4 linked regions of the Callithrix jacchus genome follow. The main gene of each other region encodes a partner of the protein of the gene in region 2 in a complex. Links are inferred from orthologs where the notes say so. Each region holds a gene or a part of one and is shown on either strand. Other genes may lie near its edges.

Evidence for each region. The genes of interacting proteins can lie anywhere in the genome.
Region 1: the proteins of PCNA (region 2) and FBH1 are in contact, whole or in part, in a crystal structure (PDB 8F5Q), measured with the Homo sapiens proteins. The link is inferred for Callithrix jacchus from reciprocal best matches to the Homo sapiens genes PCNA and FBH1. Residues at the interface, in NP_002583.1 of Homo sapiens: Met40, Ser43, His44, Val45, Ser46, Leu47, Leu126, Gly127, Ile128, Pro129, Ala208, Asp232, Val233, Pro234, Tyr250, Leu251, Ala252, Pro253, Lys254, Ile255; in NP_835363.1 of Homo sapiens: Ser56, Gln57, Arg58, Cys59, Ile60, Pro61, Phe63, Phe64.
Region 3: PCNA (region 2) and DONSON share a complex: the UniProt entries of both Homo sapiens proteins name them as parts of the replisome complex. The link is inferred for Callithrix jacchus from reciprocal best matches to the Homo sapiens genes PCNA and DONSON.
Region 4: the proteins of PCNA (region 2) and POLD3 are in contact, whole or in part, in a crystal structure (PDB 1U76), measured with the Homo sapiens proteins. The link is inferred for Callithrix jacchus from reciprocal best matches to the Homo sapiens genes PCNA and POLD3. Residues at the interface, in NP_002583.1 of Homo sapiens: Met40, His44, Val45, Ser46, Leu47, Glu124, Gln125, Leu126, Gly127, Ile128, Pro129, Thr206, Ala208, Asp232, Val233, Pro234, Tyr250, Ala252, Pro253, Lys254, Ile255, Glu256, Asp257; in NP_006582.1 of Homo sapiens: Ala453, Asn454, Arg455, Gln456, Val457, Ser458, Ile459, Thr460, Phe462, Phe463, Gln464, Arg465.

What each region holds. Positions count from the first base shown.
Region 1 is NC_133508.1:7,876,819-7,882,750, forward strand, and holds part of FBH1 (F-box DNA helicase 1), read right to left. Parts: intron 5,759-5,932; coding exon 5,622-5,758; intron 2,281-5,621; coding exon 2,181-2,280; intron 2,092-2,180; coding exon 1,970-2,091; intron 1-1,969. UniProt on the Homo sapiens protein: 3'-5' DNA helicase and substrate-recognition component of the SCF(FBH1) E3 ubiquitin ligase complex that plays a key role in response to stalled/damaged replication forks.
Region 2 is NC_133506.1:12,550,118-12,556,049, forward strand, and holds part of PCNA (proliferating cell nuclear antigen), read right to left. Parts: intron 4,363-5,932; exon of another isoform or gene 4,274-4,362; 5' UTR 4,250-4,273; coding exon 4,029-4,249; intron 3,310-4,028; coding exon 3,212-3,309; intron 3,123-3,211; coding exon 3,055-3,122; intron 2,225-3,054; coding exon 2,030-2,224; intron 210-2,029; coding exon 86-209; intron 5-85; coding exon 1-4. UniProt on the Homo sapiens protein: Auxiliary protein of DNA polymerase delta and epsilon, is involved in the control of eukaryotic DNA replication by increasing the polymerase's processibility during elongation of the leading strand.
Region 3 is NC_133522.1:39,666,702-39,672,633, reverse strand, and holds part of DONSON (protein downstream neighbor of Son), read left to right. Parts: intron 1-648; coding exon 649-730; intron 731-842; coding exon 843-947; intron 948-1,400; coding exon 1,401-1,599; intron 1,600-3,348; coding exon 3,349-3,561; intron 3,562-4,442; coding exon 4,443-4,580; 3' UTR 4,581-4,588; exon of another isoform or gene 4,589-5,253; intron 5,254-5,322; exon of another isoform or gene 5,323-5,932. UniProt on the Homo sapiens protein: Replisome component that maintains genome stability by protecting stalled or damaged replication forks.
Region 4 is NC_133511.1:66,324,212-66,330,143, forward strand, and holds part of POLD3 (DNA polymerase delta subunit 3), read right to left. Parts: intron 4,215-5,932; coding exon 4,102-4,214; intron 2,308-4,101; coding exon 2,229-2,307; intron 1-2,228. UniProt on the Homo sapiens protein: Accessory component of both the DNA polymerase delta complex and the DNA polymerase zeta complex.

The DNA.
Region 1 (5,932 bases), on a different chromosome or scaffold from region 2:
ATGCAGGGATGGGATTTTGAAATGAGATGATTTCTTGGAAATGAATCTTGAGTTCCACCCAAAACACAGGCGGCAAGCAGGAAACTTCATTAAGCAGTAAGCATAAGGCTGCCATGGGGCCTTGGCACTCATAGCAACCACATTCTCAGCTATGGCTGCTACCTCAAACTCTTCCTATGCTTTCAAAACAGGCAAGACCTATAGCTGCACACTGCTTTCTCATCAATAAAAGGCCAATTTAAGTACCTTCCAGGAACATGAGATGATTGCAAAGAATCCAAATGGCACTTCAATACAAAGTGCTGGGCATACATACTTACCACTGCTTCTTATGAGAAAAGAACGTCAGGCTACCGCAGTGGCTCACACCTGTAATCCCAGCACTTTGGAAGGCTGAGGCAGGTGGATCACTTGAGGACAGGAGTTTGAGACCAGCCTAGCCAACATGGTGAAACCTTGTCTCAACCAAAAATACAAAAATTAGCCAGGTGTGGTGGCAAATGCCTATAGTCCCAGCTAGTTGGAAGGCTGAGGCATGAGAATCTCTTGAACTGGGAGGCGGAGGTTGCAGTGAGCCAAGACTGCGCCATTGCACTCCAGCCTGGGTGACAGAGTGAGACTCTGTCTCAAAAAAAAAAAAAAAAAAAAAACTACAGAATGTCTCTAGGTCCAGATTATTCTACATTTTAACTGGTCAGCTCCTGGAGGAGACAGCCTGACTGTGCCCTGTTTAGCCCAGATCTACCAAGAGCATCTGCTGAGCACTGGCTGGGCTCCAGCACTCATACAGCACCAGGCCTGCACAGAAGACAGACACAACCAGGACCCACACTCCAAGGGCTTGTCATCTTTTAGGGAGGGACACGTAAAACACTTACATAAAACAGCGGGCAAAATAACACAGTTGACATTATAACCCACAACGAGATGTGTGATCACATGTAATGATACATGGTACAGGTAACAAGTGGATTTAAGAGAAGTGAAGAGAACCACTTACTTTATATCATGCCACTGTGGATGATATTCCAAAAATACTACTCTCTTATAACAGTGACTATGGCTAAATTATGTTATATCTACTCGACCAAATATTATAAGGTCATTACAGTAGCAATGAAAGAAAGTATGCCTATGTGTTGAGTAAAAACCAGCATCCATTTTTACAGACCCTATAATGCAATTACACAAATACACATCTATAAGGACAAAGACAAAAACGGCAAAAATGAGAATTATTATACAAAATACTGTGATCATGTGCTCTCTTTTAGGTTCCAAAATTCCTATACCATCGTCATATAGTCTTTATAAATAACAAACTTAAAACACCTTTTGATTATGATTCACTGCTGTATTTATTGAGTGCCTAATGCATAGTAGGCTCTTGAAAATCTTTTCCCATAAATGAATGAGTGAGTATTTTTTGGTCATATAACTTTGCTTCAGGGTTGAAAATGCTGCAAACATGCCACTAAATCCTCCTGACTCCCTGTGAAACAGGTAAGGCAAGGCATTATTTTATCTCAGAGATGGAGAGAATGAGGCACACAGAAGTTGTGACTTGCCCCAAGCCACACACGGTTAGTGACCAGTCAGAACTAGAGCCGAGGTGTGTACTCCGCATGTTGTCAGCTCAGCTGCTCTCACACTAATGACAACACACAACCAGAAAAGCTTCCAGTAGCCCAGGGTCTCACTGGCATTGTCAAGGGGAGAAGGGCATTCATTGTTTGAAGAGTGGAAAGCAAGGTCCCCAGCCCTTCTAGGGTCTGCCTTTCCAGGAATGTTTCACTGGCATAATCAGAATGGCCAGGGTTAGAGACCAGTCACAGTGTAGCCCAGTGAAAAGAGTCAAAACCCCAAATGCTCTCTTGCATGATAATCCCAAAGAAGGTGAACGTTTTCATTGGGTATGTTCGTCTAAGCCTTTCCGTGCATGAAGTGGTCAACAGAAATGTACTCTTACCCCAATCAAATGTATCCTCGAAGGGACTTCCCCTTCCGTCACCCGTACGGCCTCATCAAACACGTTGGCATTGGTCCGGGACAACAAGGCCACTTGCCCCTTTACATCACCTCTAATGCCACCTTTAGGGAGAGAGCACAAACTCAATGGAAAATGGAAATAAAGAGGGAAACTTTTGTAACACAAAGAGAAGAGTAACTAAAGGCCTTACTCTGATGGTTTCCTCCAACCAAGGTCTTTTTCCTGACTCTCTTGCAAACATCCAAGATAGTAGCTCCCACATAAGCTATTTCCACACCAAACCGAAAACTCTGGAAAACAACAAGACAAAGGGAGTCAGTAGTCTGTCCTGCAGTGTGTCTGTGCATTTCCACTGCTGCCACCACAGCCTAGCCTGGCCAGACCAATGAGTTATTCCCAACACCCCGGCCCAGAAACAGAACTTCACAGGCTCACTTTCAAAGTCCTTCACAACCTGACAATTCCATTATTCCCAATACCAATAGTAAACTTTTCTTTTAAGTGAATCTACCCTTTTCTCCAAATCAAATCTAGTGAAGTCTAAATCATACAAAAGATTAAGACAGGGTAAGGAGGGCTTCTCCCCCTGCCTTTGAGATCCCACTCAACACTAACTTTGAAACCACTGCCCTGGTTGGGCATGGTGGCTCAGGCCTGTAATCCCAGCACTTTGGGAGGCTGATGCAGGTGGATCACGAGGTCAAGATTTCAAGACCAGCCTGGCCAAGACGCTGAAACCCCATCTCTACTAAAAATTACAAAAAAATTAGCTGGGCACAGTGGCACGTGCCTGTAATTCCAGCTACTTGGGAGGCTGAGGCAGGAGAATTGCTTGAACCCGGGTGTTGGAGGTTGCAGTGAGCCAAGATCGTGCCACTGCACTCCAGCCTGGGTGACAGAGTGAGACTCTGTCTCAAAAAATAAAAATAAAAAAAAAAAACCACTGCCCTGTACCAACCAGCCATGGCAGTAGCACAACCACCTATGCATTCCCTGTGCTGTCCTGCCTCGGTTCATGCTTTTTCTGTCTGCCTGTAAGTCTTTTTCATCCATCAAAATCACTTCTTAACCTTCAAAACTCAGCCCAAGACCTTACTTTCTTCACCCCTCAGGCTGGTAAGATATCATTCTTCCCCACACTCGGAGTGCATATGGCCTGGTTCCATGCACACACAAGTTCAGGTGCTTTGGTGAATACCAGTAACAGTCAAATGAAAACTAGACCTTCAACAAACACTACTTTGTTGCTATAAAACTACTGTGAGTGAACCATCAGTGAAACTATAAAATAAATACCCATGAGTTCATGTTAAGATAGATAAACGATGGAATATTTAAAGAGATGGGAGAGAAGAAACAAATCTCCTTTGCAGAAGAATTCCAAATAATTTATGAAGATTCTGCAACATTTACTCCTTGAGTATGGAAGGCACATAGGGACTTCCTTCCAAAGCATCCAGTATGGAAAGGATGGAAAAAAAGAGGAACTTTCAGTGGAGAAACCTGACAAACACTACATCAGCCAACAAGCTGATCAAGGTCAACATCAAGTCATGAGCCATGGTGACAGCATGGATGAAAATGGCTCTTTACCTCTGTGGTCTTCCTCCCAGAACCCAGAACTCTAGCCTAACCATGAGAAAAAACTTTAGACAAATTCCAGCACGGGGGATTTTACCAATGTCTGACTGGCACTTCTTAAAACTGTCAAGGTCATCAGAAATAGGGAAAGCCTGAGAAACTGTCACAGCCAAGAGAGCCAAAAGTAGCAAAAGACATTATTTCAGAACTAAGGAAATGCAAATGAACCATGGACTTCAGTCTATAATAGTGTATCAATGTTGGTTCATTATTGTGACAAGTGTTCCACATTAATATAAGATGATAAGATGTTAGTAACAGGAAACTGAGTATAGGATGTACGGGAACTCTCTTCTGTAAATCTGAAACTGTTCTAAAAAATATTATCTGTTGTGGCCGGGCGCGGTGGCTCACGCCTGTAATCCCAGCACTTTGGGAGGCCGAGGCGGGTGGATCAAGAGGTCAAGAGATCCAGACCATCCTGGTCAACATGGTGAAACCCCATCTCTACTAAAAATACAAAAATTAGCTAGGCATGGTGGCGCGTGCCTGTAATCCCAGCTACTCAGGAGGCTGAGGCAGGAGAATTGCCTGAACCCAGGGGGCGGAGGTTGCGGTGAGCCAAGATCACGCCATTACACTCCAGCCTGGGTAACAAGAGCGAAACTCCGTATCAAAAAAAAAAAAATATTGTCTGTTACAAGAAGAAAACAGCTCTGCACTGATGCCACCCTAATCACCACAGCAGGCAGGAGCTCAACGGAAGAATCAGAGGCAACTACATGACTTTCAGTAACATCGCAAAACATGGCAGTTTATACTTTCATCCAAGTCACACCTCTCTTCTAATTAGAAATGAGTTTCTTAAAAGCAGTGGTTCTCAAACTTCTGGTCTCAGGATGCGTCACGCTTAAAAATCACACTTAAAAAACCTCCAAAGAGCTTTTATTTACATGAGCTTTATCCATCTATCTCTTTACCATTTTAGAAACTTTACTTCATTTTTTTTAAAAACTATTAAAAATGTTTTGTGTTTTTTTTTTTAAGACAGAGTCTCACTCTGTTGCCCAGGCTGGAGTACAGTGGCGTGATCTAGGCTCACCACAATCTCCACCTCCCAGGTTTAAGTGATTTTCCTGCCTCAGCCTGCTGAGTAGCTGAGACTACAGGTGTGAGCCACCACACCTGGCTAATTTTTGTATTTTTAGTAAAGACAGGGTTCTGCCATGTTGGCCAGGCTGGTCTTGAACTCCTGACTTCAAGTGATCTGCTCACCTCAGTCTCCCAAAGTGCTTGGATTACAGGCAGGAGCCACCATGCCCAACTAAAAACCTCTTATATGACAACATATGGAACACATTTTTTGAAATGTAACTATATTTCCCAGAACAAAAATTCAGCAGGAAGAATGGCACCATGTTACATTTTTGCAAATCTCTTCAATGCCTGGCATCACAGAAGACAGTCGGCTTCCTGTGTTCACATCTGCGTGGTCTGCTGTGATACAGTATCCTGGCTGACACCCAGGAAGAAAATTCAGCCTCACACAGACATGTGATTGGAAAGGAAGGAATGCATAATCAAGGACACTGTGAGTTATTGCGTTCATTATGGGAGTTTGCCAAAATTTTAATTTCACTTGAAAACAAAGATGTCATCTTTGACAACACTGTCAGTTATTTTCCCTGAAGTCGCAGCCTATTTCACTTGTCTTTGAAAAACTGCCAAATACGCAAGTCTGAACAACCAGCACTGGTCTAACAACTGTTCTCAGTACAACATACAAGGCGGCAGGAGACATTGGTTCACAGTTCAGCCCAACAGCTCTTCCTCAGACGATAGCTATGCAAACACCTCTTATGCAAACAGTCTGACTTGGCGGACCCCTGAGAACCACACTTTGAGAACCACGGCTTAGAAGCAAGGAGTTGCTAGATCTGGTGAGCCTGGCATACCACCTTGCACAGGGCCTAGCACATAAGACACTGGGAGGGAGATGCAATGCCTGCCCACTTGGGGCCAGGGCCTCCGAGGCAGAGAGCGCGCTTACCTGCGTGAGATAGAAGACGTGGGTGTGGGGCACTGTGAACAGGGCGTTGACCGCACCCCGGAAGGTATAGATCTGCTGGTGCGGGTCCCCTACAAAGATTTTCCCACATGGCTGAGACAGAACTATGTTCATGATAGCTGTAACCAAGAGGAAAAGTGAGAAACTTTTGAGGTCTCCACCCCAGGCTGCAAAAAGAAAAGGACAAAAACACTTCCACGAAGCTACGTCAGGACACACTGGACCTCAGAGTCGCCTTTTCCTGCAGGACAGGCACACTCCATCAAATCAGCCGTTTTACAATGGACAAAAGA
Region 2 (5,932 bases):
ACAACTGAATGACAGGAAGATAGTTAATTACTGATGAGTATCACATATATTACCTACAAAATAAGGTTCCAATTTATTATCTTACCAAGCGGTACATCTGCAGACATACTGAGTGTCACTGTTGAAGAGAGTGGAGTGGCTTTTGTAAAGAAGTTCAGGTATCTCAGTGCAAAAGTTAATTGAACTGGTTCATTCATCTCTATGGTAACCTACAAGAGAAAACAGATTCATCATTAAAAACAGCAAGAAAGTTGCAATCTATTAGCTCACTATATATATATACATATATATATATATATTTTTTAAAGACAGGGTTTCACCATGTTGGTCAGGCTGGTCTTGAACTCCCGACCTCAGATGATCTGCCCGCCTTGGCCTCCAAAGTGCTTGGATTACAGGCGTAAGCCACCACACCTGGCCCAGCTCATTATATATTAAAAGAAAAAAATGAAACATTAATTTATTATAGCTGCTAACAAACATTGCAAAGACACCCAGGTACCCTGTGCCTCCTACTAGAATCACACACTACCAACTATAAAGTATTCTTGCTCTCCAACCCCAAAACAAAACATCCTGAATATCATCAAGGCTCCAGGGCTGTAGCAACCAGTTTGTAGGACATACAGGATAGAGGAATTTATGTATATACAGGGATGCAATCAGCAAAATCCAAACTCTGGAAAACCTAACGAATGATCTAATTTCGTTAAAAAATAGATTGTAATCGAAGAGAGAAAATGAAATTAGAGGGAACCAAGCTAGGTGTGGTGGCACACATCTGTAGTCCCAGCTGCCTGGGAAACTGAGGCAGGAGGATCACTTAAGCCCTGGAGACTGCACCACTGCACTCCAGCCTGGGTGGACAGCACAAGACCCTGTCCCAAAAACAAAGAAAAACAGAAAAAAAAAACAAAAAACAAAACAAAACCCCATGAGATTGGCATAGGAGTGGAAATGTGATTCAGGAAACAAAAGAATCAGCTCCTAGACTTCATTAATTTAAAAAAAACATTTTCAACTGAATTTCTTTTATTTAAACTAAAGGTAGACTATTCATTCAAGGAATAAGAAAGCAACATCTAGTATTTATTATAAGCTTATAATGTGTCAGACACAGCATATGCTATTTAATCCAAACAATCCTATGAGGTTAGGACCTTTGTCCTTGATTTACAAAGTTTTGATTTATGCTCAGGCTATTAAGTTGAGACAGTTTTGCTTCGTCGCTCAGGATGCAGGGGAGTGGCACAATCTCAGCTCACTGCAACCTCTGCCTCCTGGGTTCAAGTCATCCTCCTGTCTCAGCCTCCCGAGTAGCTGGGATTACAGGTGTGTGCCACCATGCCCAGCTAATTTTTGTGTATTTAGTAGAAACAGGGTTTTACCATGTATTCTATTTTGTGCCAAGGGTTCTCTAGGCACTCTCAAAGTTGCATGGAGTCTGCATTCTAGCTTTAGTGAGAAGTCTCCCTTCTGTTTAACCTTTGATTCCTACAGCCTGTGACTTTAGCTAAATTGCCACTTAAGGTTGGCTCAGCCTGCTTCTCTACCTTTAGAATGGGCTACCAATTGGACCCACAACATGTAAGCTAATATAAGGATTACATAAGAGCTCACAACAGGTAGACTTTTACTCCTAACCATATCCTTCTATTGAGTTGCTGACCTATGCTCAATTATTTAATAACAGAGTAAGTATCTCCAGAAACCTAAAGGTTAGACACCTAGCTTCCCAATCCTATCCTTAAGAGCCTGTGTGGGCTTGATTCATAAACCACTGTTCCATGGTATGTACATGTGCTGAATTTGGACGGCCACTTATAAATCAATTGCAGATTTCAAAAGTATCCCAATTTTCACAAATTACTTAAGGTACAATTCTATCCACTTTTAATTTTAGCAATTAACCCAATGTTAAGTGGTATTAAAATTCTCTTCAAACTTGGGTATGTCTTTGTAGCAATGTGAAAAAAAGAAGAAAACAATTCTCTTCAAACTATTTTCTTTTTACTTAAAAACTACTTACAGCTTCCTCCTCTTTATCGACATTACTTGTCTGTGACAATTTAATGTTTCCATTTCCAAGTTCTCCACTTGCAGAAAATTTCACTCCGTCTTTTGCACAAGAAATTACAACAGCATCTCCAATATGGCTGAGATCTCGGCATATACGTGCAAATTCACCAGAAGGCATCTTTACTACACAGCTGTACTCTTGTTCCTATTAAGAACAAATTTTTTCCAAAAGTTAATTGTTAGAAACTTAATGATTAGGCACTCTTTCTTAAGAGGCAACATCTAAACAATGCAGAATCAAGATTCTCAGATAATTTCTTAACCAACCAAAGAAATGATGACGGTGCAAGCAAGCCTAACTACTTTCTAAAAAAACCTAAGAATATGACATTAGGCATTTTCAACATTCTGACATTTCTTTTCTCCTTTGCTGTTTATAAACCTAACTTGGATAAATTTCTTCGAAGATATCTTTAAAATACACTTAATAAAAACCAAGCATTCTAGAAGGAAAAAATTTTTAAAAGAGGTTCATGGAAGTTAATGCAAATAGACAACTGGCAATAAACAATAAATACAACCAGTTTTAGGCTTGTGGTAAACAACAACTATTCAAATACTAAAAATCTGTCTTTGAAACATGCACTAGTAGATACATTTCTAGAAAAGTTATGTGAAGTAGGCTTAAATTATATTAACATATTTTGAGTGGGGAGGATTGCTTGAGGCTAGGAGTTCCAGACCAGCCTGGGCAAGACTGTCCCCACCCACACACAAAAATAAAAAAATTAGCCAGGTGCGATGGGACAAGCCTGTAGTCCTTCCTGGTCACTTAGGGACCAAGGCAGGAGCGTGGCTAGAGCCCAAGAGTCCCAGGTTACAGTGAGCTATAAGGCTCCACTAAACTCCAGTCTGAGCAGCAGAGCAAGACCCTGTGTGAGGGGAGGGGGGCGGACGGACTGACAACCCCACATTCTATTACACAACTATCATGCCTGTGTACAGTACTCTCTACAATCAGAAATTGATACTCACTGGAATTCCAAGTTGTTCAACATCCAAATCCATCAACTTCATTTCATAGTCTGAAACCTTCTCCTGGTCTACCAAAAGAAAGCAAATGCTGCTGTGAAATACTGATACAGAGTTCTGAGTTTCTGTAGCTTCACAACTCAGTAAAAAGATGACTTACTTGGTGCTTCGAATACTAGCGCCAAGGTATCCGCATTATCTTCAGCCCTTAGGGTAATGATATCTTCATTGCCAGCGCATTTTAGTATTTTGGACATACTAGAAGACAGGAGACACATGGTTTAAAATCAACACCACCTGCTAAAGGTCTGTATTTCTAATGCAGTTAGAAGGGGTTACCACTCTCACCCATCGGGCCATCTCAGAACTGGTGGAGAGTAAACGTACTGCTAGAGGATGTGAATATTAATGCAGACATTTTGGGATGCATCTGGCAGTATTTATACTAAAACGCCACCGGCAGTTTCCCTTCTGGATAGAAACAATCTCCTGCCACCAAGTAGGATGACAGGCTGACACATTCTCGCAAGGGCACATTATAAACCATTTAAAGTCAACGGCGACTGAGCCGGGTGGATCGCCTGAGCCCAGAAGTCGGAGATCAGCCTGGGCAACACACCGCGACCCCGTCTCAAACAAAAAAGTCAGCCACAACTAAAGCGTCCATTCAAGGCCATCGGGATATAAGGAGCCAGAGCCCCGGAGCAGTGTTCCTGGCACTGCAGAAAAACCAGTCATTTTCCCGCCACCACTTGCTTTGTGACTTTGGCGCGAAAAAGCAGGTTCGCGCTACAACAGCCAGCGCGGGCTTTTCGGAACCGCGCGCTCGGCTGGGCCCCACCCCACCCCGCGTGGCAAACCAGTGAGAAGGCGCGGATGGCCCACGCCAGCCAATGAGGGCTCGGCTCGGAAGCGCTCCCGCCAAGCGCCGGAGATAGGGGTGGGCCGGAGTCGGCTCTAGGCGCTGCCGGGCTCACCTGGTGAGATTCACGCCCATGGCCAGGTTGCGGTCGCAGCGGTACGTGTCGAAGCCCTCAGACCGCAGCGTGAGCTGCACCAAGGAGACGTGGGACGAGTCCATGCTCTGCAGGTTTACGCCGCTCGAGCTGATGTCCCAGCAGGCCTCGTTGATGAGGTCCTTGAGTGCCTCCAACACCTTCTTTAGGATGGAGCCCTGGACCAGGCGCGCCTCGAACATGGTGGCGGAGTGGCACCAACGCGGCTACAGGCAGGCGGGAAGAAGCAAACTCTAGCCGGTTTCGGCTTCAGGAGCCGCAGAGAGAGCGGGCGAACGTGACGAGAGGCTGAACCCTAGAAAAACGACCGCTCCCCTACGCCTGCAACCGTTTAATAGCGCAGGGTCCGCAAGCGCGCGCTCTCACCCTGCGCCGCGTTGTGACGTCACTACGTCTCCACGCCCACGGGCTGCGCGGGGACACTTTAGGGCCAATCGTGTCCCTGCTCCCCGCGAGGCCCGCCCTCCTAGAACATGCATTGGAGGATGCGGGCGCAGGGCGAGGCAGCGTTCCGCAGGTCTCCCCGCCTCTTTGCCTGATTTCTGAACCTGGCCGCTGGACTAGTCCGGGCGTTTGTGGGGATCAGGCCCAGGCCCCGGTTCGTCAAGCTCCAGCTTTGTGGTGCCTCCTCAGCCTCCCACTTCGTGGGCAGAAAGTTTCCAGCCACGAAAGTGAAAGCGAAATGCAAGTCAAGCATACCGGGAGGAAAAACCTCCTTGCAGCCTGAAGAGTTCAGCTGCTGCAAATATGCTCTTTATTTTTCAATTACAGAATTGATGCGCTCCTAAGTGTCCCCTGATAGACAGGTGGGCTGTTACGTTAAACTTAGCTCTCTATCACCCTCTTAACATTCCTCCATCGGCTCTTAGAGTCAATCGTTCACTGTATAAAGTTTTTAAAGCTTTTTTAAAAGTATGAATACACATCTTTTTGAAAATGCGTTCATTCCGTAAGCACTTTGAAAGAATAATAAAGTACATTTAATTTTATGCCACATTTTTTCTATATCAGTACCTCTTTAAAAGATAGCATCACATGTGTGACCTAATTTATGAAGCGCCTGTTGTTAATTACAAACACCTTTGAGTACTTAGGTAATTTTGATGTCATCAACTCCTTGAAGTAATACGGCTGAGTCAAAGAGCGTATACATTTAATTTTGTTTTGTTTTTTTTTTTTTTTTTTTTTGAGATGGAGTCCTGCTCTGTCACTCAGGCTGGAGTACAGTGGTGCCATCTCAGCAAACTGTAAACTCTGCCTCCCGGGTTCCAGTGATTCTCCTGCCTTAGCTTCCCAAATAGCTGGGATTACAGGCACCTGCCACCAGGCGCGGCTAATTTTTGTACTTTTTTAGCAGAGACGGGGTTTCAACATGTTGGCCAGGCTGTTCTCGAACTCTCAACCTCAGGTGATCCACCTGCTTCAGCCTCCCAAAGTGTTGGGATTACAGGCGTGAGCCACCGCACGTGGCTAAATTTTTGATAAATATTACTAAATTAATCTCCAAAAGTTTGCAATTTACATTCTAGCCAAGATTGTGTATGAACATGCTTTCTCTTTATTTTCCAAACTAGATGTCAGCAATCTCGTTTTTAAATCGTTGCTCATCAGTGTAAAAATTACAATTTTTTTTTTTTTGAGATGGAGTCTAGCTCTGTCACCCAGGCTGGAGAGCAGTGGCATGATCTTGGCTCCCTACAACCTCCGCCTCCCGGGTTCAAGCAATTCTGCCTCAGCCTTCCAAGTAGCTGGGATTACAGGAGTCCACCACAACGCCCACAGAATTTTTGTGTTTTTAGTAGAACAGGGTTTCACCATGTCGGCCAGACTGGTCTCGAACACCTGACCTCAGGAGATCCACCCAC
Region 3 (5,932 bases), on a different chromosome or scaffold from region 2:
CTAATGAATGCACAACCTAGATGTCTCACATGCGCAGAATAGGGTTCGCACCCCGGTGAGAATCTAATGCAACCACTGATGTGATAGGAGGTGGAACTCAGGCAGTAATGATCCATCACCAGTCGCTCACCTGCTGTGCAAACCGGTTTCCAACAGGCCACAGGCCAGTACCAATCCACAGTCCTGGGATTGGGGACCCCTGATTTAAACTGTTCCTTATACATAGTTTTCCCTTCTCTGACCTCTAAAATAAAACACATATTGGGCCAGATAGTCACTATATACACTCTTCTAGAAATTATTCTGTAGTACCAGCTACTCCTTTAATAACATAATTTTCAAACTGAGTCAACCCATTAGTGGATCATGAAATCTATTTAGTGGACCCAATCAGTACGTTTTCAAAAAGTGAACTAGAATACAATATAATTTATGAAAGAGTGTCACATGTATGTGTTGTTTGCTGAACCTCTTTCAAGGAGATATGTTTTTATGTGTATATGTACTGTGTCAAGAAAGCTTGAAAATACTGCCTTAATAGATCATTTGTAAAAACTCACATTTCGTATTTTGTACACCTGAAAAGTACAGCATGCCTGTTAAATACTTTTAATGAAAACTCAGTTACATTTTTCTTTCCTCATGTAGGTATTGAATTTTCTCTGCCTTTAATAAAAGAAAGTGGCCATAAAAAGGAGACAGCATCTGGAACAAGCCTGGGATATGGGGAGTATGTGATTAAAATAAATTTTTATGTCATCCAGTGACTTACAGACCCATGAAATAGATTTGTACAGGAGCAGCTTTGTGAAATAGAGACTCTAACTACAGCAATTTCCTAGGGAGCAAACCATCAGTGATGAGGACGAAGAGGAAAGTTTTTCCTGGCTGGAAGAGATGGGAGTGCAAGATGAAATTAAAAAGCCAGACATACTTTCTATCAAGCTGTATCCTTTCAGTTGCTGTTAACTAGAATTAATTTTCATTTAATGACGTTAGTGAGAAGTTTAACATTGGCAGTTTTATATAACTATAATCTTAAATTATCTTCAGATTATATTAAAACTAATTTTCATTGTAATATTTAATAACAAGCCCCTGAGTATCAATAAATGGTGAACTATGAAACATTTTTTAATCAAAACATTCAATTGTGATTGATTGTGGGAGAATAGGTGTGTTTTGACTAGAGAAGAAATTATGTTTAGGTGTCAGTTTGTAGCAAATTTAAATTAACATTTTGATGAAATATATGCCTTAATCATTGAGTAAAGAGAGGTAGCAAGAGCATTTCCATTTCATTATGGAGAAAAGGGGTCTCAGGTGATTCAGAATCGAGATAATTGCTTTCCACAGTACGTGGGATTTGCTTTTGCAATTTCCTTGACTGTTATCTTCAGTCGTAAAGAGAAACATGAAGTACAAATGGATCACAGACCTGAGTCTGTTGTGTTCATGAAAGGAATCAACACCTTTACATTGCTCAATTTTTTGATCAACTCTAAGAGTTTAGTTGCTACCTCAGGTCCACAGGCAGGCCTTCCTCCAACCCTCTTATCCCCTGTTGCTTTCCGAGGTGCCACAATGCAAATGCTTAAGGTAATAAAAATCTCCATAACCTAGCTTTTAAGAAGTACTTTACTTTGATAGGATAAATTCTTGATTAAAAAAAACTTCTAGCATTTTTACTTGGTACATATTTTGCTTTTGCTTTCCTCCCATTAAGAAAACAAAAAAACTGACATAAGACAGTTACATCAAAGAAATTATGTGAAAATATGTAAATTATATGAAATTTTCTTTTTTTAATGGAGTCTTGCTGTGCTATTCCAGCTAGATAGAATGCGGTGGGGTAATCTCAGCTCATTGCAACCTCTTCTTCCCCTGTTCAAATGATTCTTGTGCCATGCCTCAGCCTCCTGAGTAGCTGGGATTACAGGCACACACCACACCCAGCTTTTTGTTTTGTTTTTTCTTGTTTTTGGAGAGGGAATCTCGCTCTGTCAGCAGGCTGGAGTGCAGTGGTGCAATACTCACTGCAACCTCTGACTCCCACATTCAAGGGATTTCCTGCCTCAACCTCCCGAATAACTGGGATTACAGGCAAGTGCCACCACACCCAACTAATTTTTGTATTTTTAGTAGAAATGGGGTTTCACCAGAAGTACTGGGATTACAGCTGTGAGCCACTGCACCTGGACTCTTTTTAAATTATATGAATTTTTTTTTTTGGTTGGGGAGACAAGGTCTTGCTGAAGTGCAGTGGCACAACTCACTGCAACCTCAACCATCTGGGTTCAAGAGACATTCCTACCTCAGCCTCTCAAGTAGCTGGGACCACAGGTGCTTACCACTATGCCCTGCTAATTTTTTTTTTTCACGCTGTCACCCAGACTGGTGTGCAGCGGCGTGATTTCAGCACACTGCAGCCTCCGCCTCCTGGGTTCAAGTGATTCTCCTGCCTCACCCTCCTGAGTAGCTGGGATTACAGGCACACGCCACCATGCCTGGTTAATTGTTTTTTTGTATTTTTAGTAGAGATGAGGTTTCACCACGTTGGCCAGGTTGGTATTGAACTTTTGACCTCAAGTGATCCACCCACCTTGGCCTCCCAAAGTACTGGGATTACAGGCTTGAGCCACCACGCCTGTCCTAACTTTGAAGTTTTTGTAGACTTGGGGTCTGTTACTCAGGCTGGTCTAGGACTCCTGGGCTCAAGCGATCCTCCTGCTTTGGCCTCCCAAAGTGCTGGGATTACAGGCATGAGCCACCATGCCTGGCCAAAAATTTTCTGACTGAATAAAGTAACAGTTGGCAAAAAAGTAATTGGGAACAAAAGCATTTTGGTGTTAATTTCCTTTTTTGCCACTTAAGAAATAGTTGCTTGATTCCATTTTCATTTCACTAGTGAAAGGACATGGCCAAGAATGTTATATTAAATAATAGCAGATGTCAAAAACTGGGGCATACATAAGTAAAAGTCAAATTATACATGTAAATACAAAGTATGTGCTAAATGTCAGCAATAGAATTGAATGAATTTTAAATTTTTGTTTTTCCAGTAGTCTGCATTGACAGCCTATTACTAAATCAGATAAAATACTATATGAAAAAATGGTATTCTCTGGAATATATTTCAACTGAAAAAATCTCATAATATGGAGAGGATGCTGAAAATTTGCCAAGTATTTTTACTCACGTAACATTGTTTTGATGTCTTGGAAAATACTTTTGTTCTATAACGGTTAAAGAGAGGAAACCCCAAATGGAAACATAGTAACCACAGTTTTAGCTAGAAAAAAGTTGAAAGATGATCATCATTTTCCTTTTCTTTAAATTTTCATGAAGGCACGAAGTGTAAATGTGAAGACACAAGCTCTTTCTGGATACAGAGACCAATTTAGTTTGGAGATTACAGGTCCTATCATGCCTCATTGCCTGCACTCACTGACCATGCTGCTCAAATCTTCACAGAGCGGGTCTTTCTCTGCACTACTATATCCACATGAACCAACTGCTGTATTTAACATCTGCCTGCCAGTGGACAAAGTACTTAATACGGTAAGTAGACATCTATGAGCAGACTTTTAGTTGTAGTTTCCTAAGACTAGCTGGAGGGAAGGAAGTCATTTATGCTGAGTCACTTTTGTGTTTCAAGTAATTAAACTTAATTAGATAAATTATGAATTACTAGAGGAAGGAATAATGTCCATAAGTTGTTGAATTAACTTTCATGAATTGAGTCCAAGTACAAATTTTTTCTTTTTTGAGACAGTCTTGCTCTGTTGCCCAGGCTGGAGTGCAGCAGCCTGATCTTGGCTCACTGCAACCTCATCCACCTGGGTTCGAGCAATTCTGCCTCAGCCTCCCATGTAGCTGGGATTACAGGCAGGTACCACCATATCCAGCTATATTTTGTATTTTTAGTAGAGACGGGTTGTGGGGGAGGTTTCACCATGTTGGCCAGGCTGGTCTTCTGACTTCCGGTGATCTGCCACCTTGGCCTCCCAAAGTGTTGGCATTATAGGTTTGAGCCAAGGCGCCTGGCATCAGTACAAGTACAATTTTAACAGTGACTAAGGAACTTCCCATTCCCAAAAGGGGAAATTTTATTTTCATTGTCCTCTTGGATCCAAAACTCAGTAGTACCCAATTCCTTGATAGTTTTAAGGAAACATGATTCACTATAGGTATTAAACCATATTTGCCTTTGATTTTGAATATAAGGATTTTTAGAGTTAAGACCTTTAAAATTGTCTCATGCATCTCAGTTGGCTAGACTTATAAAAATAACCATTAATATTTTGGGATTTTGTCACTACAAAAATTCTTAGGTCTTCTGTTGATAGGATGAATCACATTAATCAGTCTCCATAGTAATTAAAACTCGTGTGTTTCAAGACTAATATGCCTTTTACTGACTTTTACACAAATTTCCACAGGAGGTTGTTCATAAGGAGCTTACTAACTGTGGTTTGCACCCTAAGACTCTGGAGCAACTTAGTGAAATACCGTTACTTGGGAAATCGTCTTTACGGAATGTGGTGATGAGAGACTACATTTATAACTGGAGATCCTGAACACCAAAGTAAGCCTCAAAGGAATCTTTGAGGAAAAGCCTTCTAGCAAGGAAATTCAAGGTTCCTGAAGTTAAAGGAATATACTTTAAAATACTGAAACATTTATATTTTTATTACAGTAGCATTTTTTAAATCAGTGTTTTCTGCTTTTACTATTTTCAGGTTAGTTTTTAGATATAAAGATGAAAAGCTCAGATCACTCAAATGAGGTATCTATATCCCTACAACCTAATTGTATAGTGAGTAGAAAACTGAATTAATGTTTCCTTGCAAACAGGAAATTGAGACTAAACACAATTATCTCTTGGCCTTGTGACAAAGTCATCAGGGCAAAAATGTTACTTTACCATTTACCTAAGACTGTTAGTAGGTTCTTGTTTTATAAATCTCTACTAACCTAGCTGACTTGCTGATGCATCTACCTTAACATTTTTCCTACTGATCTATAATTTCTTTATTTTCACATATACTAAAATTTTTTTAATTCATGTTAATTCAGATAAAAAGGCATTTTGTATTCCACATAGAATAGTGTTAAGAATTGTGAAGTATGCTGAGCTGTCATGGCAAAGTAGTATTTAATGTGTGTGTGCGCGTGTGCATGTGCATGTGCGTGTGTAGGCGGGATTGTATAATTCACATTTTTTTAAATAAAAGTGCTTAGAAATCAAAAGCATTGGGTAAAGAAATAATAGTATCTAAGTATTTGTTCACTTTATAATCCAGAAAATAAAACACCACATTTATTCCAGAGAAGTTTGTATTTGGGCCTTAAGCTTTTGAAAATAAAGTTTAGAGACATAGCATATGAATACCACCGTAATACACATGAAATATTCTATCGGACCCTAAAAATTAACATAAACTTTAACTTTCTCAGAGTCAACAAAATAGTGGCTGGTTGCCAATTTTATTAGATAAGTTGGTTACAGCATTTTAATTATCATTTTACGTCTATCTAGGTGTAGCTGAAATTCAAAATGCACATCAAAGTAAAACTATATCACAACTCAATGCCATACTAAATGTACTTGGCCTCTGCAATAGAATTCTAGTCAGACTTCATTTTTGACTCCCTTCTTATGACCCAAGTGGCTTTAACAGGAATGCAGGACTTAGTGCTGATCACACAACATACCACTTTCTTTTTATAACCTCTACAAAATTTTGAGGGGAGATGGTGGCTTTAGCCCTGTGGAACAGATCTTGCTTGATTACCTCAATAACACTGGCCCAATATCTGTCCAGCAGAACCCATTGTGAAATAGTACAAGGTGCACAGCCCTTCACTGATTACAGGCAAGTGTTACAGCAGCCTAGCCATAAGGAAGGGGAGTTACATCATAGTACAA
Region 4 (5,932 bases), on a different chromosome or scaffold from region 2:
GACTTTGCTCCTTCATAAGCTATATTCTGTATTCAAATAGCAGCATGTCTACAACATTACACTTTAGCATCAATTAGCTCATTATTTCATTACTTATTAATGAACCCACTGGCTGTCTCATTGCCAATTTTGTGTAATACACTGCTTGGGGGAGTTAAAAAAAAACAGGGCGGCACCAACAAAATTTCTTTAGCAGCATATTCAGTATACTATAATAGCTAAACGAAACATTTTTCTATATTCAAAGCTATAGCTACCTCAAACCCCAGGACAAAGGAGGTTTCCATTAAAAATATAGGTCCTTTATTTTAGCTGAACAACATGTCACTTTCTGGGTTGCCATGAAAAAAAAAATCCAAACACCTGGTTTTCACGGGTAACATCAGATATCTTTTCTATTCAACTGCTTTGCTCTTAGAAACCCACCGTTTTGTCCAGGAGTCTACTCCAAACTTATCTCAGGGCCTCAACTCCCCACTCTCTGCTGCAAACTCACAGAGGGAAAGATGAGCTTTCTAAACCCACAGAACAAATCTGATCCAGCACAGGACAGGGCGAGCCTCCTATGCTGGTACATTTAGAACAGTGTGAGTAGAGAGGAAAGCAGAACTCCTTTGTTGGTAACCAAAGCCAAGACTCATTAGGTTGAGCTTGGACTAAAAACCTTAAAAAAAAAAAAAGTGCAATGTGAGCACAGTTTTCACTGCTGCATCCAAGGCTCTTAACAGCCCTGTCTGGAGACAGGAGTGCAAAAAAGTCCACATCCCACACCTGGCCAAAACTCGAGTACTATGTTCTAAACAAAGCAGTAAACAATTACCCACAAATTCCCAATGAACTCTCACAAAGACATCTGACTTTTTTTCTTTTAGGGCAGAAAGAAGTGAAAAAAAACTGGCACCAATGCTTTTGTCCTCTTAAATTAAAAAAATGTACTGTTGAATTAAGAAATTCAACAGTAAATACATATATTACCACCCATGGCCAAACCAAGAGGCTTGCCATTTTTGAAAAATGGCAACTATTAAAAGACTGAAAGCCAAAAAAAAAAAAAAGAAAAAAGAAAAAAGAAAGGAAAAGAAAAAAAAAACCCATTCAAAGTCCAGAATTCACAGGTTCACAAGAAATCTGGCATTGAAAAGACAGAATTCCCACATGTAAAGAATTCTACTCCCTAATCACATGCTACAATTAAAATGGCAGAGGCCTTTTCAGAGGACAGAGACGTGGGGAATAGTGGGACAGGGAAAACAGCCGACAGAACGTCTGCACTAGTTTTAAGAACCAGGAAAAGTTGATTCTTCAGAGCCAATCTTTTAAAAACAGAAATCTGAACTAGGAAAAAAAATTGAGAAGGGGGAAAATAACCTTCTCTGAAGATCCAACCTGTGGCAAGTGCCACAAAAGGCAAAATGACAACCATGGACTATCCAATAACAAAGGTAAGAGCCTAAACCCACAACTCTTTTCAAATACAAAAGCACAATACCAGGATCTGAGCATCCCATGGAACCTCAAGTGCTAAATCTTAAAAGCTCCACAGAAGTCTGGTTTGATTATGGAAAGGGTAGAAGAAGCTAAAACATGGCTGAAGAATCAGCCAATGACTCAAAGTCTGAACTCTAATTCCTCCCTAAGCCTTCATAACAAGCACATGCTTTTACCTAACATGGCTTACAAATAGGAAACATAAAGGAAGCAGTCTGGATGAGTCATACCCTTCTGAAGAAAAAATGGAACCAAATACCAAAGATGATTCTTGATACACTCTAATCATCTGTAGCTTCTTTTCCACTGTTCAAATTTATAAAAACATTCTTAAAAAAAATTTAAAAAGCTTCTCAACCTCTATGACATCTTGAGTCTGTACTGTGGTTTCCATTTTGAAAGTGTTTTTAGATATATTTATGCCACCTGACTCTTCATAACAACCCCACATATAGGCAAAATAGATATTCCACAGATAAGAAACTCCTCAGCAGAGACAACATAACTTTTAGCCAAGATCTCACCGCTTATTTTCATAGTGTATGACCTAAACAAGAACCAAGGTGTTCCGACTTATACTATGCTACTCAAAGTGTGTGCCAGACAAATAACATTAGTACCACTTGGGGATGATTCTTGTACACTAAAGTTTGAGATGTACCTGTTCTATAAGGGATTATGGTGCCTCTATGGTAATAAGAGATTCTATCTCTGGATTTGGAGCCAAATATTTGTCTTACCTATGCAGGCTTCCTCATCCACGTAAGTTTTAGATTTTAGTACACGTTTTCGTTTTCTTTTGTTTTCTCCACTTGAGCTCTAAAAGATCAGAGGATACAATGTTAAGCTGACCAATTATGTTATACAGAAAAATAACAAAAGCTTTTAAATCTATACTAATCACCCTCCAATATTCTATTATGATAAAAAGTTGAACAAGAAACACTACATTAGTTTTAGAGAACCAACCCCATTACACAGACAAGTTATGTATACATAGGCTTGATATTTCATTAATCATAAGAAGGAAAGTAACATGCTGAAGAAAGAACTATGTTCCGTTCATTCAGTCAACAAACTTTTGTTGGGTAGAGAAGGCAAAATGGTTAAACAGTAGGATAGGATAAGGACCTTAGTGGAAGAGAGAGAGAAGGAAAGCAGACATTGCAATACGATGTGGTAAGGGCTTCAATGGAGGGCTGAGGCAGATATTATGGGAGTACACAGGGATGGCCCCTAAACCAGACAAGGAGTTTCTGTGGTATATGCCCTTGCTGTAGACACCTGCTATATCAGTCTTCACATTTCTTTTTTCTTTTTCGTTTTTTAGAGACAGGATCTTGCTCTGTTGCCCAGGCTGGAGTGCAGAAGTACAATCATAACTCACTGCAGCAGTCCAACTCATGGGCTCAAATGATCATCCTGCCTCAGCCTCCCAAGTAGCTGAAATTAAAGGCATGCGCCCCACCCTGCCCAGATTTTTTTGTTTTTTTGAGAGAGAGTCTCGCTCTGTCGCCCAGGCTAGAGTGTAATGGCACGATCTCAGCTCACTGCAACTTCTGCCACCTGGGTTTAAGTAATTTTCCTGACTCAGCCTCCCCAGTAGCTTGGATTATAGATGCCAGCTACCATGCCTGGCTAATTTTTGTATTTTTAATAGAGATGGGGTTTCACCATATTGGCCAGGCTGGTCTTGAACTCCTGACCTCAAGTGGTCCACCTGCCTCGACATTCCAAAGTGCTGGGATTACAGGGGTGAGCCACCACATACCCAGATATTTTTAAAGTAGAGACAAGGTCTCCCTGTGTTGTCCAGGCCAGTCTCAAACTCCTGGAGTCAAGCATTCCTCCTACCTCAGCCTTCCAAAGTGCTGGGATTATAGGTGTAAGCCAACACGCTTGGCCAGCCTTGACGCTTCAACATTACACCTATCTAATTTGGTCTCAAAAGGTATTACTAATACCAACTTCCTTTTATCTCCACTGGTCTCTTTCATCCCATTTTCTCTTCAGCTAATGAGTAAATCAGTGTAAGATTTAAATGACAGTCTTAACACAATGAACTAAGAAAAACTAACAGCCACAAAGGAAAAAAAAAATGTCAGCACTTATTTTTTTCAACTCTTCATTATCTACACTAATGGATGTAGATAAGATGCAGCTGAAGAGCGTTCAAAGCTGTATTTCCCCATTGATTGCCAGTTTTCTCATGAGCCCTTTTCCAGAATTGCTTCTGAAAAGCAACAAACATTTGTAAGTTGTTTGTTCCCCTCTGTCTTTTATGTATTGCTCTGATGGAGAGGGGATCTCTTTTTGCACCATTCTAACAGGAGGTGTACAGCACAGCAGAGATGCTAAAGGTCATGAAAACAGAACAGCTCCCAGGTTCCACTTCTGCAGCGTTCCTGAGACTATACCCTATGGCGAAATCTCCCTTCAGGTGAGAATGGAGGGAATGTCATTATGTACAACCTGTAGGAGAGCAGAATGAGACAAGAGCCATCTACTGGCATTTGTGAAGTATACAGCAAGGGAACTGATTTAGCACAGTGGTTGCAGGTCCTTCAGACATAAAGGACACATGGATATGCAAGCATCCCAGTACAATTTTACCTTAACAGAAGGAGGTTCAGGCTCAGTCTTTGACACTGGTTCAAGAGGTGGAGACATAGGAGGAGGTGGGGATGGTGACTCAGCTTCATAAACCCCAGGAGAGTCAGGGAAGACTGAAATAATGAAACAGACTTAGATCAGAAAACTACAAGTGCTCTCTAGTATAATGCTTTCTCCACTGGTTCTCTAAATTTACATGTCCAGCAAAGGGCATTTCGCAAGCGGTAATTCCTGATAACAAATAAATTTGCAGTTATATAGTTATTTTTAAAATATATATTTTAATAATTTTATACAAATAAAATCAGAGAATCAAGAATTTTTACAGCCAGAAGTATCTTAGCTAAATGTTTTCTTTCATAGCTAAGTCAGGTTATGAAGTTGGTTTATGAATATCCAATCATCATCTTCCATATGCCATGTATTTCACTTTATTCTTATAACTCTAAGAGACAGATTTTCTTACTTGCACATTAGAGTAAATAGAGGTTCAGAGAGGTACCTAAACTTGCCAAGGTCACACAGCTTATAACTGACACAGGAGTTTTTAAGCCTACGTCAATCCAATTCTACAGCCTTGCTATTCCAACTATACTATGCCACCTTATCATTCAGAACAAGACATTTTCTCTCAAGATCTAAGTGTAGATAATTCTCAGGTTATTACAAATCTTCCATGGCAGAGTCTTTCGCTGTGACCTAAGGATTACTTTTAAACACCTAGATGCTTGTTAGACTAAAAATTTCCAGCTGATATTAAGAGTATAAACTTCTAGGTGGGGGAAATCATCTTTTAAATGATTATCATAATTAAAGCTCTAACAACTAGGACCTGCTTAATATTTTGCATGGAGACTATTTCTAGTGACTGTTCCACTGATAAGGCTTGTTCTGCTACACTGAGGTTAATAGGAAAGCACACTTTTAGGAAAAAAATACTGCTGTGGAAGTGGCATCACCCAAGGAATGAGCACCACCAAAGGGATCCCATCATTTCTCAACCATCACAGAATTGGTGATCTTAGTAAAGGGCCCATGAGAGGGGAAGTGAAAATCCTCAACTGACCTATTACTCAACCATCACAAAGAAAGTGCTGGTCAGGGGACTGGGCAGCAGCTTAGCCTCACCTGCTCCCTAAATCTCCTGGCTGTATTCAAATTCTTAACACAAGTCTTGGATCTGAAATTCTCCCAACTGATTAGGTCAGTGTTAAAAATTATGACAGTGAAGAGTTCAAGGCCAAATGACCTAAAGAGGTGAAGAAGAACAAAAAGTCAGAAAGAACAATAAATTATACACTTTAAGTATAAAATGGGCCCCCAAAACTTTATAAGCTCTGAGAAACAAGAGAGAGAAACATAAAAGGAAAGCAGTCCAGCTATTAGCCCAGCTCTGGGAGGCTAGAACATGATGGGAGCTCAGGCAAGAGAAAAGTCAAACCCCAGAAGCAAGCCCCCATTGTTCTGAAGGAACAGCTATGAAGAAAGCCGGGCCACAATGGTAATGTGTTATACGGGGAGGAGGAAAGTTTAGACAGTGAGGAAGACAAAGGAATTTTGAGATTCGCAGTAATAAACTGAGGCTTTCTTATTCTATTTCCAGTTCTGAAACCAGCTGGCTTAACCAAAGAAAACAATCCTAGTGACACTCTCCAAGATCCCTCTCACAGCACTGTGTGTGCAAATGCTTATCTAGAGCCCCACTCAGGACTCTAAGCTCCAAAAAGGCAGAGACACCACAATTTCCCTGGCATCATGAACACACAGTAAATATATATATATAAATAAGGGAAAACCACCACTTTCTGAACTAAATTTGGGATGAAGAATG